Oreochromis niloticus: one gene and its partner. The protein of the gene in region 2 purifies or fractionates together with the protein of the main gene of each other region. This does not show direct contact. Links are inferred from orthologs where the notes say so. Each region holds a gene or a part of one and is shown on either strand. Other genes may lie near its edges.

Region 1 (7,655 bases), on a different chromosome or scaffold from region 2:
AACTTGGGGGACAAATAAAGTCATTCAAGGTAGTAGAATCACCAAGTATACACTGAAATATAACTTAAATTATGTGTATTGGCTTTTACACACCATTTGCATCAACTGATGCAAATGTTTTTTTTTTTTGTTTTTAACTCCATAAACCAACATCCTAAAATACAAGACCATTAAGATTTTTGCTTATCTTCAAAATGCACAACTGAGATAGTTCAAATTATATTTCTAAGACCAATGACTTCAAAAGGAGGGTTTAAGTTAATGATCAATGTCAGACCCATCTGCTCATATTAAGTTACATAAGTTAACTTACCAGCCTTGCTCACTCTTAAACTTGTAGACAGATCCCAGAATGTGACAGAGAGCACCTCCTGCCTTGAAATCCAGGAAACACTTGGCCTGAAGATATGAGAGGAACCATAAGAACAGAACATTTTACCATTTGGGATTAAACTGTGATGGTGATTTTCGTAGAATGTAATGTTTGTATGCTTACAGGTAGCTTTGTAAGAGCAGGATTGTTGACTCTTCGCCCAAATGCGTCTTCCTGGAAATGCAGCAGCTGGACCACGAGACCTGCCAGGGATTTACTGGAGGGGGAGTCATTCTGGACGTACTGGAAGTAGGCACAGAAAAAAGTTATCAGTAACATGATAGCAATGGCACAGATTCCCATCTCATCTAGCAGTCTTTTTTTTTTTTTTTTTTTTAAGCAAATCAAGGTGGCCAAAAGACAGAAAAATACAACCTACAAGGGTTTAGATTTTTTTTTTTTTAAATGAATTAATTCCAAAGAAATGCTCAAAAGTCTGAGAATGGGCTTCTTCATTTGATAATAAGATAACTCTTTATTGTCATTGCACAGTCATACATAGTACAATGAAATTGGAAAACTGTCCCACAACGACATTGCATACAACACAACACGACACAAGTTATGTTACTGTGATGTGTTAAGTAATAAAAGAAAATAATAAAAAGAAGTCTGTTACCATGATATGAGCAGCCACGAGAGTTGTTTACTAGAGCTCCAATTCTGTTTTGTTTTGCTATACTATTATTAAGCAGTGGGGTATAGATAAGTTAGTCCTGTAAAGAGGCTCATGCACATCTCAGATGGCTTAAGTCATGACGGAGAGCATCATTAGCATGGTTATCAGCAGCTGGGAACATCATCACAAAGATAAGAGCAAGCCTCTCTCCAGAGCATGTCCAATCGTGAATTCATGAACCAAATCATATAAAAACTATTGAGTAATGTTAAAAAACATTTGATTATTTTGAAATTCAAACGTTTCTTGGATCATTATTTTAATTTGCTGGGGGACAAAACAACAGGGTGATATTCACAGGTGGGCAGACTTGAGCAGATGAGGTACTACAGCCTAGAACAGGAGGTTTGGCTACAGGAAGCAGAGATAAGAGTTACTGAAATAATTAGGCAGATTAGTCGACTATCAAAATAATTGTTAGTTGCAGCTCTAGAGAGTCAACAGACTAATGATTTTTGTTTAAACTTGTTATATCTTTTGCCTTGCATGGGAACAGGTTTCTGCTTAGACTGCCGTCCCTGAAATCCAAGTCCTGTTTCCAGCAGGACAAGAGGGATAGTTGGATGGTATTTATTTCCTGATCTTTTTGCTCCAGAGAATCAATCTTGACCAAAAAAATTTAAAAATCAAGTCATGACTTTATCCTTTAAGGTTTAGCCAGTGCAAAATCAATGTAATCCAAGAGACAATGTTAGTGAATCCCATTTATATACTATTGCATCACCAAATAATGACACAAGGTTTCAATGGCTTATTTTAGATTTAGTCTATGCAAAATTAATGCAACACAACAACTAAACACTGACCAGAAAGATCACAGTCAACAGCAACAAAGTACATTTAAAGCTGGAAGACCTTCCACTGCTATATGGCCTCAAATAACTCACATAAATATCTTTGCAAAAACAACAACAACAACAACAAAAAACAACAAAAGGATGTATTTATTATTCTTAAAGGCAAATTTATTGAACAGTGCATATGCTTAAAAAAAGCCAAGTTTATATATTAAATATTGTAATATACATCTGCGTGTAAACGCTGTACTCACAAGCCCTTATCTATGCCATTTCATTTGAATAATGTTTCTGCTATAACTTGAGCGGGCACAACGTGTCAGTGGTTTTGAATGAGAGCCTGATGTGACAAGAGGAGCATTCTTTGTTTGGCTAATTCAGTAGGCAAGTGCAACCTGCACGGTGTGCTATGCTGCTGTGTTGACAAAACTAAACACACTGACAGCATGGAACAGGACTGGGCCTGCAAACAGCACGCAGTGAAGTAGATAATTATCTTCTAAGTAAAGTACCTTTTAAGATGGCATAAAAAGGAGGCTGGGGTTTATTTAGCTAATATTATAAGTTCTGCATGGTATGTCCCGTGACTTACATACAGGTTAGCATCTCGGGCCTTTTGAAAAACTAATAAGAAAGTTTGGTTTATTATTATTTCTTTTTAATGAGAAAGTTATTACATACGGGTTAAAAAATTATACGCGGCTATGTGTCGCTCGTTTGTAAACATTTCCCCCCTGAGCGTCATATTAGTAGCAACATTGAATGGGCAGTTAGCGAGCTAACTATAGCTATTTGATAAACAAGAACTGATAACTCTATCGGTCTAGGACAATGGGCAGTATACTGACGGTGAACTCCCAAACAAAATTATATAGAAGCACTCTTAAAACTTAACTCTACTTAGCTCTGGGTGGCTGCAGCTAACTAAAACATGAGCGCCCCTTTGTGCTAGCGAGACGCGGGCCTTCATAGAAATCAATGGAGGAGCGGGCAGCTAGCTTACCTTCTTGTAGTGCTTTCCGATCCAGAGTCGCACAGTCTCCAGCTGGGATATCGTGTCTGAACTTTCCCAAAATTTCGCAGACGGACCACCATCTTTCTTTCGTCCCACTGCGGTTAAACCACCGACGGGGCCAGTGGTCGGTCCGCCCGAGCCCGTTCCGCCTGCCGTTGTCGCCGCCGTCGCCATTGTGTGTTTTGTTCGCTGCGTTGTCTTTCTCCTCCACGGCGTCCCTCAGCGTGCAAGTTTTCGAATGACATTGCGCAGCCGCAAACGTGTTGAGCATTTTGAAGTCTCGCGAGCCTGAATATCAGATGGTCCATGGGATATGTAGGCACCTGAGAAGGTTATTCCTGTTTTTTTTTAGGTAGTTTGTGTTAAAAGTAAGACGGCGTATTGGGGCCATGGTATGTAAAATAAAAAAAAGGGGGGACCGGGTTGATATAATAACTTAATAATAGCCATTATAAGTTATTTGGCGGAGTACAAAATATCAATTTCCAAAATTCAAGTCAAAAATTTCAAAAAACGTAAATTAAAATAGTACATTTTTAAAGAAAAATCTTGTACTCTTTATGGTTATAAATTCACAAAACTAAGAGGAAAAAAAACTGTTTAAAAAAATCTAAGATTAAAGTCTAAAATTTATTCATTCATTTGATTATCATCATTATTATTATATTACTCTTGTCCGTTGTTCTCATGTGGTTTGATACTTTTTCCTGCAACATATAGATTTGAATCTTCGTATGAACTTTTATAATCCAGTGAATGTGTTTTTGCCAGCAAGATCCAAGTAGCCACATTATAGTAACAAAACAGAAAGTTGTATGTAAACTAATTCACATAATTTTTTTGGTGTTGCTTACAGATTTTTTTCCCTGCTTTAACTACTCAAACATAATATGAGACTTATATGAGAGTTCAGTCTTACTTTTTTGGAGGGGGGGTTATATGTACTAAATTAGCACTCTTACTTTTCAAAGCTATTGTCTATACTGGTGCAGTATAAATGAACTATTTTCATGTAATTTGACAGACAAACTTGACTGTTTGCGAGCAGCAGTCAGGATGGCGCCATCTTGTGGTGACACTTTTTTTGCCTACCAGCTTTGGTCAGATTTAACCTCTTGCACAAACAAGAGAGATTACTTTTTGTCAGGTAATACAAGACTCTTTTCAGCTTAGTTTGTGCCTGTGTCTGTACAGAGCCAGGAGGTGGAGCAAGTTTACATGACTACACCGTGATGTAAATAAAACCTCAATAACATGTAGATTTCAGCAACTATCTATCTATGTCTGTTCAAGAATAAGAGAATAAAGCTGTCTTCACATAGGTTTACTTCTTGTAAATAAAGTACATTAACATATCATCTAAAAGTTAAGAAAGTGTTTCCAAAAAGTGGTGAAATGGTTATTTTATTTTTTATTGATTTACTTTATTTGTTTTTGGTTGAACAGTAAAATTGCACTACATTCTACATTTCTCTCTTTCTGTTAGTCTAATTAAATCCACTAATTTAAAAAAAAAAGTAGTTTGTTAAAACCCATCACAAGTTTAATCAAGCACAAGAGATAAAAAATGTGGCATGTGCCCAGTAAAAGGGGTGTACTGTTTAAATCCAAGCTGAGCTGATAACGGCACTTTATGATACCAGTACTAGGAATTTCAAACCCCAGCTGATAAATATCTGGTAGATTAGTGAGCAAAATCCTTTATATTCAACAGAAAAAGCTGTACACGAAGCACAGGGAGTGGAACAGGAGCTCTTTTTTTGCTTCAAGAATATTAGCACGGCCCTATAAATGAGAATAAATTACAATAGTGCAATAGTGTGGCATATTCAGCATAAATTTTCATATTTTGCTTATATTTGTTGAAAACTGAATATACCAGAAGCGAGTCAGTTTATTACTAAGGTTGGGGTCAGATTGACTTTACGATTTAACCCACTTGAGATAGGCTTGAGTATATGAAACCCATTTTACTTTTTCTAAAGTCTTTGTGAAATGTTTTGTTCTTGTTTTTATTAATCTTGCCACTTTTTCTATTTTTACATCATTTTTCCTTTTTACGTTTTAGTACGCATGGTACCATAAACCTTAGAGATACATTTACCAATGCATTTTTCCAAAACATCAGGAACTGCCAATACCCTATCTTGTTTGGTAGCTGAAATGAGCCTTATCTCTATAAGGAAAAGGACAAAGTCCTCGGTGGCTTATTGAAAAACAAAGCTCATGTGCCCTGGTTGGATGTGAATATAAGTAACAATCCTTAACAGCAGCTCCTCATCTGCGTCTGATTATAAGGTATGTAGTTTTCATTTAAAGACGTATAATATCCTCTAAGGGGGTTAAGAGGGTCACTCTTTGTTTTTACTTTAAATAAATGCGTTTTATTTTTGTTTAAGTTTAGTTTAGGCTTTAAAAAATATGTAAGTTTCTATTTTCTCAGTGTGAACAGTAGGAACAATGAAACACATTTCAGCACTGGTTTTGCTCCTTCTCCTGGGGATGTCCTCAGCACGCACCTATCGTAAGTATGATCTGGATGTATATGGACTCTTTTTTTGTAAGGAAAAGTAGTTATGTGTAAAAAAAAAGAAGTGTAATAATAAGAGGCAACGTGTTTATCACCAGGTAGAGATAGAGAGTGAAGTAACAGAAACTTAACAAAGTATAATATGCTTAGTTATTTGCAGTCACTGCAGTTTCTAGAGTTTAGAGCTGAATGTTTCATGTAAGTAAGAAAAAACATTTTTCCTTTACCACAAGTATGCAAATTATTAAATGAGACATTTAAGCAACATCATTGTCTTACGTGAGATGTGGATGTCAAAAAAAACCTTCCAAAAAACACATTAAGGAGTCAGTTTTTCAGTTTCTACAGTAAGAACATTCTTTCGAACCATTCTTTTGGCTCACCAAATTCAGCATCTTATGTAATCATTTTGAATCATAGGTAGTCTTTGCTGACTAAGCAAACTAACCAGTTGTGTTTGCTGATAATTGTGCAGCTCTACCAAATATGCCTATCCAAATATGTTCATATACTACAGTCACTGTATTACTGTAAACAGAGTTATCAAGCTAACTACATGAGGAAGTGACTAAATGAGGTACATTTGAATGGCTGCTCATTTTCAGCTGCTTGCTTGAATGCATGTCCTTCCATGATATCTTTCATTTGCATTCTGCTATTTCCAGAAAATGTGGCCCTGCGTGGCAAAGCAACCCAGTCAACCCGTATCAATGAGGTATTGTCGGCTGCCTACGCTGCAATTGATGGAAACCGTGATTCTGACCTTCGCCATGGATCATGTTCGCACACCAATCAACAGACCGACCCCTGGTGGAGAGTGGACTTGCTCGAGCCCTACATTGTCACTTCCCTCACCATCACCAACAGAGGAGACTGCTGTCATGAAAGGCTCAATGGGCTGGAGATCCACATAGGCAACTCTTTGAATAATGATGGCTTAATAAACCCAAAGTTAGTAAATATAGAGCAATAAGGAATTAGCAACAATGTTGTGATTTGGCATTTTACTCATTTTTACCTTTGCAGTGTTTGTTTCTTTCTGTTTTTCCTGAACGGCAACAGGAGAGGTTGCTGTAGGACTGACATTGTTAGCTGCCCATATTCTTTTTATTGGCACTCCCTATAATAGATTCCTATATTAAATCATCCTATTATATATTAAAATAGAGAATATCAGGTTACAGTTTTTGTAAATTTTGTCAGCAAATTCCACTAATTGAAAATGATCACGCTGACTATCAAATGTTCTGATATTTGCTGCCATGGTAACTTGTATTTTCTCACACACTTTTTGTTAGGGTTGGAAAAATTTCAGAAGTTGGTGCAGGCAAATCCTACACTGTGAATTTCGCTGGTCGTGTGGAGGGGCGTTATGTAACTTTGAGTCTTCCTGGTTCACAAAGGATCCTCGCACTCTGTGAAGTGGAAGTCTACGGATATCACGCTCCAACTGGTGAGAATGTGAACTACTACATGAGCTGCACGGTATGCAGCTCTATCGCCAAACTCTGGTATCCAAACTTTCAAGCTGATATTAAAGCAGTTTAATAATAGATATTTATTATCATTACTGTTCATCACTGTAACCATGATGACAAAGAGTTTGCTTCATGAATTTTTTTAATTTAAATTAAAACAAAAAAAAGAAATACTATTGTATTGTATAAACGAGATTAACGCTGACAGCACTATTTCCTATTGATTTCTATGAACTAACTTCAGTAAGGCCTTCAGTGACACTATCAATACATCTGTTAGCCCACATTCCTATAAAGAACTCTTTATCATTAATCAATACTTTGATTTTAAATATGATCAGTTCATCTTTTTTTAAGAAGCTAAAGGCTTTTAAGGTGGAAGTATTTAAATCATTAATTCAGAAGCCTTTACTTGATCCAACTTTCTTGTCCAGCCTAAAAAGAAAAAATAGGATTCATAATTCAAAAGCATAGAAACAGGACTAGCAAAGGTTACTAATGATCTCTTTATTGTCTCTGGGAGCGGACTCATCTCTGTACTCGTATGTTGTTGGACGTTACTGCATTTGGTAACTCTGATCAAAACATTTTACAAAAGTAACTTCTCATTTCTAGAATACAACACTGACATGAAGAGAAATGTGTTGAAAATTATAGTTATCTGACAAATCCTAATCTGGTCACGTAAACAACAAGTTTTTCGCTCACAGAAAAATTATTCCATTAGGGAATATTATCAGAAGTCAGAGCATATATTTTCACTACTGTCCAGTTATTGGAGAA
Region 2 (6,105 bases):
TAAATTGCCTGGATGTATTTCAGGATATGAGAACTTTTCTTCCAATCATTAAGTAAACAGAAGTGCTACAGCTTTCAGATTTACCCAAAGAGCATTTTTTTTTCTTAATTTTCAGGAATAAAAATCATCTTTCTATTTTATTTGTCAATTTTTCTCTATTTACCTTCTGATCAAACCACTGGGTGCCATTTTCTGCTTCATGAATACACCACATGAGCAAATACTTGAAATATAATGTAATGTTTCTTTCTTTTGTTTTTTTTTAAATGTCCTCCATCTCCAAGAAGAAACGTCAAATTCCTGCTCCGTGTTTCTTTTGGGGTGTATTTCAGTACGCAGGCCTCAATTAAAAGATTAGGAATATGCTTTGCCGCTGAGCCAGTTTCTTATCTGCAATATGTTGTAAGAGAAATATGTGGTATTACACAGTCAGTCTATGATGAGTGTGAGCATTAGACAAGCAAACGCCCCTTTCTGTCTGTCTGAGCCTTCACCTGCCTCAAAGGGACAAAAAAAGGAGATTTACAAGTGAAATTGTTTAAACAAAGTATAAATCTGTTTAATTCAATAAAATATCAAGTACAATTAAAGCATTTCACCTTTCAATATTAAATAATTAGACTTATTTCATTCATTGCCAATACTATTACAAAGAGTTGCATCATTTCACTGCAGCACAACTCTTCCCTTGACAACCACTGCTCCAGATACACACAAAAAATGTAGAAATTCACTCGCATGTATGTAAAACCTGCACAGAAATACTGCATACACACACACAAAAAGAAAAAAAAAAAATCACATCTGAGAATAAAGCTAAGGTGACATGTGAAGAGTCGTGAATGATTGCGCAATACATGCACCCACTCCTTCAGTCCCATTCAAAGTGTCCTTGTAAACTGGTGGTCGCCGTCTTCACCTGTGAAGCGTACCGTTTTCAGCACAGTGGATTCCCTTTCGGCTCTAAAGTCCACCGATGATCAGACAACAGCACGGAGATCCGTGCAGAGTCTCCGGTGTGTGAATGTGTGTGTGTGTGTTTTAACACTGTCCGGTGGCAGAGAGCAGGTTGCGCAGGGTGGCCAGCTCTCTGGACAGCTGCTCCACTCGCTTTTGTAAACGATCGTTCTCTGCGGCCAGTTCCAGCACTTTGTGTTGAGTCTCCAAGTTGCGCATTTTGGCTTTGTCCCTGCTCTTCCTCACGGCGAGGTTGTTCCTCTCCCGCCTCAGCCTGTACTCTTCACTGTCCTTGTCCAGGCGTTTCTTTGACTTCCCGCTGGACATTTTGCCACTGTGCGATGGTGATCTGCTTTTACCTGACGGGGCAGGTGTGCCGGGCGGGCTGGAACAAGTCGAGGACGCAGTGGAGATGTTTCCGAGACTACCACTAGTGGACTGGTAATGAATGTAGGACCTCATGTCAAAAGCAGACGAGCCGTTCTCCATCTTTGCGTCTTCCTGACTGTCTTCTCTGTCGGCGGCAACAGCAGCAGCAGCAGCTCTGTAGCGGCTCCCGAGTTCAGGGCTCAGCACGCTATCCACGCGGGTTTCCTGCAGCTCCGGGTAACCTAGCGCGTAGGGCTCCCTGGGGTCCCTCAGGTTGTCGCACTGGCTCGTCTCCAGCTCGTTCAGTAGCGAGTAGTTCTTGTAGTTCTGCAAAGCTGCAACTCTTCTCTTGTTCTCTGCCAAGAAATCTGAGAAAACGTCCCCCTGCTGCTGCTGCGTCTGCGCCGCCAGCTGCGGGTAGTGCAAAGCTGAGTCCAGGTAAACACTGAAGTCTATCGCTCTCTCCCGCTCTTCAATGCCCAGCTCCGTCATCGAGTCACCGAGCCTCCAATATGAGCCGCCGCCGATGGGGCTGATAACGCTGTCTCTACTGTGGATAGCAAAGCTGCCCTCCTCGTAGAAGCCGGCCACTTCCATGGATCTTAACACCCGCCGGATTGCAGAAGCATGGAGGGCTGAGGTGAGACGCCCTGAGTGGTTTGGGTTGAGCTGTGAAATGCGTCTGAATGTGGTGAGTCTATAGCTCCCGTGACAACATGCAGTAAACTACTTTGAAGAACTTGTGCTCATGGAGTGAGAGGAATTGACAGGTTCTTCCTGTCTCGGGGGGTTTTATTTTTTCTAGCAAGGGGCGGAGTTCAGGTATGTGACGTGCAAGGCAAGTGGACAACCTGTGCTGTTTTTCGAGGATCTTTGGCACACTGAACTGCGTTTGAACACAATAAAAAGTGAACTTAAGCACTTAAGCGGTTTTTTCTCTCTTTCTCCCCCTTCCCTGTTTGTTTGGTGGTATTGTGGCACTTGGCTACAGCAGGAGTGTCAAGATAGGAAATGCAATCATTTGTATGATTTTAAAACAAACGAAACTTAACTTAAAAAGCAAAATAAAAGTGAAAATATAAACGCACAACGGTGAGTACCTAACCAAGAGCGCAATAACGAAACAAAACCATACGTTAGGAATTCTTTGAGTGTTTTGACATCGGGTCCCTTCACGCCCTCTACAGTCAGATCTCATCAACTCGACAATAATGGAAAAATTCCACTCGGCATGTTTACCATTTTCTAACTTCGTGCGTAATCGTCTCATAACAACGATACTCATAAGCGCAGCCCCTGACAGCTGTTTCCTTTGAGCTGACTAGATTAAACCAGTATGCTGTTCTGTGGTAGACCCCTACAAGATGATACATCTCTTCCAGCACTGTATCAGGGTCAAGGTGGGTGTAATGAGAAATTTAGTGAGTTTGGTTTATGACAGTCCAGTGGGTCCACGGCTGAACCCAGGCTCACTGTGCAAATATGTCACTTCTCCCAGAACATACAATCTAGAATAAAGCCCAACATCCCAGTGTTACCAGTCACACGTGGCCTCTGAATTGGATTTACAGTCAGCACTCTCTGTTTTCTTAGACATGCAATTCCGATAAGGAAAGAATTCCCAAAAAAGGTCCTATGATGGAGAACCGGAGATGGTGGTGGTGGTGGTGGTGTGTGTGTTGGGGTGGTGGGGGGATCGACTTGTAAGAAACCCGAGATGCTGTGTGAACAGTACACAAAAGCAGCAAAGTTAAGAGACATAGTTATGGATTAAGTCTTACTGCCACCTTCTGGTGACAAGAGTCATTATAACTGACTCAAAACCGAGGTTTTGAGTTCCTGGCCAACATCCAATCTGATCTCAAGTAGGCCGGAGCTGTTAAATCACTGAATAATAACGTATACACATTTTCTCTCTGAGTATAAACACACTGTGAAAATTTTTTTACATTCAAAAGAACTATCCACTTGTTTCAAGTTTACTAAAATAAGATTTATGTAAAAGGACAGACTTTTACACACACCCATAGCTGAGTGGTTACTAATTTGTGAAACACTTTGGCTGCCTCTTTTTAAAAACCTATCTATCACCGTTTCCCCACATTATTAGGTACACTTCTTCTACAGCTAGGACAAATATTTAATCCGCCAATCACATGGCGGAAACTGGGCGCATTTACCGTAAAAATCTCATTTATGTCTCTTTTTCAGATTAAAGGGAACCTGTTATACTAATTCCAAGCTTTGTATTTTCATGTTTGGACTGCTACTAGAGAAGTCTCCCTTCGCCCACTGTCTGAAACAAGCTGTTTAGCTTCCTTCTCGCTCGACTTAATCCAACTTTCTTCTGATTGGCTGTTCCTGGTAAATATTTGAATATCAGGGGTGAGGTTGAGAAGACCATATAAGGATTTCCCCTGGTACCGACGTCATCAAGACTAAGAAGAACTGTCTGAAGTATGAGCTTTTGGCTCCCAGTGACTGTTTGTGCATACACTGACATATTTGTAGCAGAATACACACTTACTGACCACTTTATTAGGTACACCTGTTCAACCGCTCGTTAACGCACACATCTAATCAGTCAGTGTATTTATGCATGTAGACATGGTCGAGATGACCTATTGAAGTTCAAACTGAGCATCAGAATGTGGAAGAAAGGTGTTTTAAAATGACTTTAAATGTGGCTGGTCTGAATATTTCAGAAACTACTGATCTACTGGGATTTCCCACACAAACATCTCTAGGTTTGAATTTTTCCTCTTTGGGGATCAGAGGGATTACCTGTCACATGTTATTTTAAATCTTATAATGTGTCACATTATTTTTTAAATAACCAATGAACCGTTAAGACACCTTACCTGAGCATATACTGGCAACCTCATACGCAGCTGAAGCATCACAGGTGACAGATGTAACTGTAACACCTGTTCCTGTTTTCAGCAGTGACGTGGCACTTGCTCAAGATTTGGGGTCAACAGAGGAATACCTGAAGGATTTAGCAGCTTAACACTTTTGTTGATTATGTTTGCCGAGATGCTGTCTATGATTACACATAGTTGCAGTGAAGGCTTAAGTGTGATGAAAAAACAGATTACAAAAGGTCAGATTTCTCAGAGTGCCTAACATCCAAGATAAAAAACAAACACACATAGATCTACAGTGCATGATATGATAATAGAATATCAACATGATCATCAAAACTGAGAACACTGTCCAAAATGGTAAAATTCCTGTTTTTCACACTGTATTTCAGAGAAAGGGATGACAAATATGATCACATTTTTCTGTCTCTGTGTTGTTTCTGTTCTAAAAGGTTTGGAGGCATCCAGCAGTTAATGTCATCAGTGCAGGTAAGATCATCAGAGGAAAATGCTGAGTACAAATGTACATCATCTGTGTAGGAATGGCAGGATATATTATGATTCTTTATGATAGTAACAAGCAGAACCATGTAAAGGTTAAGGAGTAAGGGACCGAGGACAGACCCTTGAGAAACCCCAGTTGAATTTATCTTATTCTGTGGATCTAAAACCACTAACTGATACATAAAAAGTTCTATAGGTGTGAAGTTTTTATGTCCTGTTAAAACCAACTGAGTCATGAAGGTTTTGGTTTAAAATTTCACGATGTGTCAAAAAAGTGAGATGACACAACCCTCTTTCTGAAAAATGAACTCATTAACTCCCTTTTACCTTCCATGTGATCAACCACTTCCCCAAAGCCTCAGGTCTCTAGCTGAATATAAATAAATGTGAGATACTGGCTCTGCATGAGTCCCCCCTGCAGTCAAGATGTAATACACATTTAAAAGGAAATGAAATGTTATGGATTTATACGGATGAGATAGGAACAGAAAATAGGAATATTTGTGTTGGTATAAGAAATATAAACCAGTTCAAAATATTCATTTTAAACTGATTGCTGCAAAGGGACATAGCAAAACAACAAAAGCAGCTTTCAGCTACTCTGTTGCCACATAGCACCATGTGTTTGATTTGGCATAGGTTTTTAATGCTTATTTATTTATTTATTTATTACAACAGATGTGCTTATGGACACACACTCCAAAATGGATGGCTGTTTCTGGCTTTAATTGAGCCAGCCAAATTTTCTTGCTAAGCAAACGTGTTAACCGCTACACCATTGGAGGCATAAATGTAACATTAGTAAGTGATATGGTTAAAAATTATAAAGATGTTGGGGCTAATGCCATTGTTTTTTATATTACGAATAGTACTTCAAACTGAGATGGTTTAGAGCCTTGATTCTGAACAGACACTACTTTTGATCATTATTCCCAGTGTGATTTTTGGAAAAAGGGGTCAAACAGATTTCTATCAGCAGGTCATTCTCTACTGGAAATGAATCTATAGCCATATTTTTTGTCCACACAACACACCTGCGTGGAACACCAGATGCATTAGACTTGGTACGATATCTGTGTACGGATGTAGCTCATTTTATGGATTGGAAAGGTAATCTATTACAGCCTGAGGTGTACCGAGAAAAGTTCAAGTTAGGATGCACTGCTAAGAGCTATAAAACATTGACAAGAGCCATCTAGGTCCCTCTGAGATCAATGATTAAAGAAGACATTGTGTACTCTAGGACTTCTCCCAGACTGACAATAATTGACTTTTGTCATAGTAGGTGTACAAACAAAGTTATCAGAAATATTTTATTAGACGAAATGTATCATAACCCAGTAAGAAGGAATTATATTCTGAGGAAGTTCAGGTGTTACAGAGAAATATGTTTCACTTCCTCTCCTAAATG

The links.
Region 1: the proteins of cebpb (region 2) and smarcc1a purify together in Homo sapiens (affinity purification with western blotting; 3 studies listed by BioGRID, with this or other methods). This does not show direct contact. The link is inferred for Oreochromis niloticus from reciprocal best matches to the Homo sapiens genes CEBPB and SMARCC1.

Annotation. Positions count from the first base shown.
Region 1 is NC_031976.2:31,814,511-31,822,165, forward strand, and holds the start of smarcc1a (SWI/SNF complex subunit SMARCC1), read right to left. Parts: upstream 3,117-7,655; 5' UTR 3,039-3,116; coding exon 2,853-3,038; intron 617-2,852; coding exon 497-616; intron 400-496; coding exon 314-399; intron 1-313. Other genes in the region: fucolectin-1, read left to right, coding at 5,325-5,388, 6,060-6,345, 6,693-6,847. UniProt on the Homo sapiens protein: Involved in transcriptional activation and repression of select genes by chromatin remodeling (alteration of DNA-nucleosome topology).
Region 2 is NC_031984.2:10,008,684-10,014,788, reverse strand, and holds cebpb (CCAAT/enhancer-binding protein beta), read right to left. Parts: upstream 2,105-6,105; 5' UTR 1,924-2,104; coding exon 1,042-1,923; 3' UTR 535-1,041; downstream 1-534. UniProt on the Homo sapiens protein: Important transcription factor regulating the expression of genes involved in immune and inflammatory responses. Also plays a significant role in adipogenesis, as well as in the gluconeogenic pathway, liver regeneration, and hematopoiesis.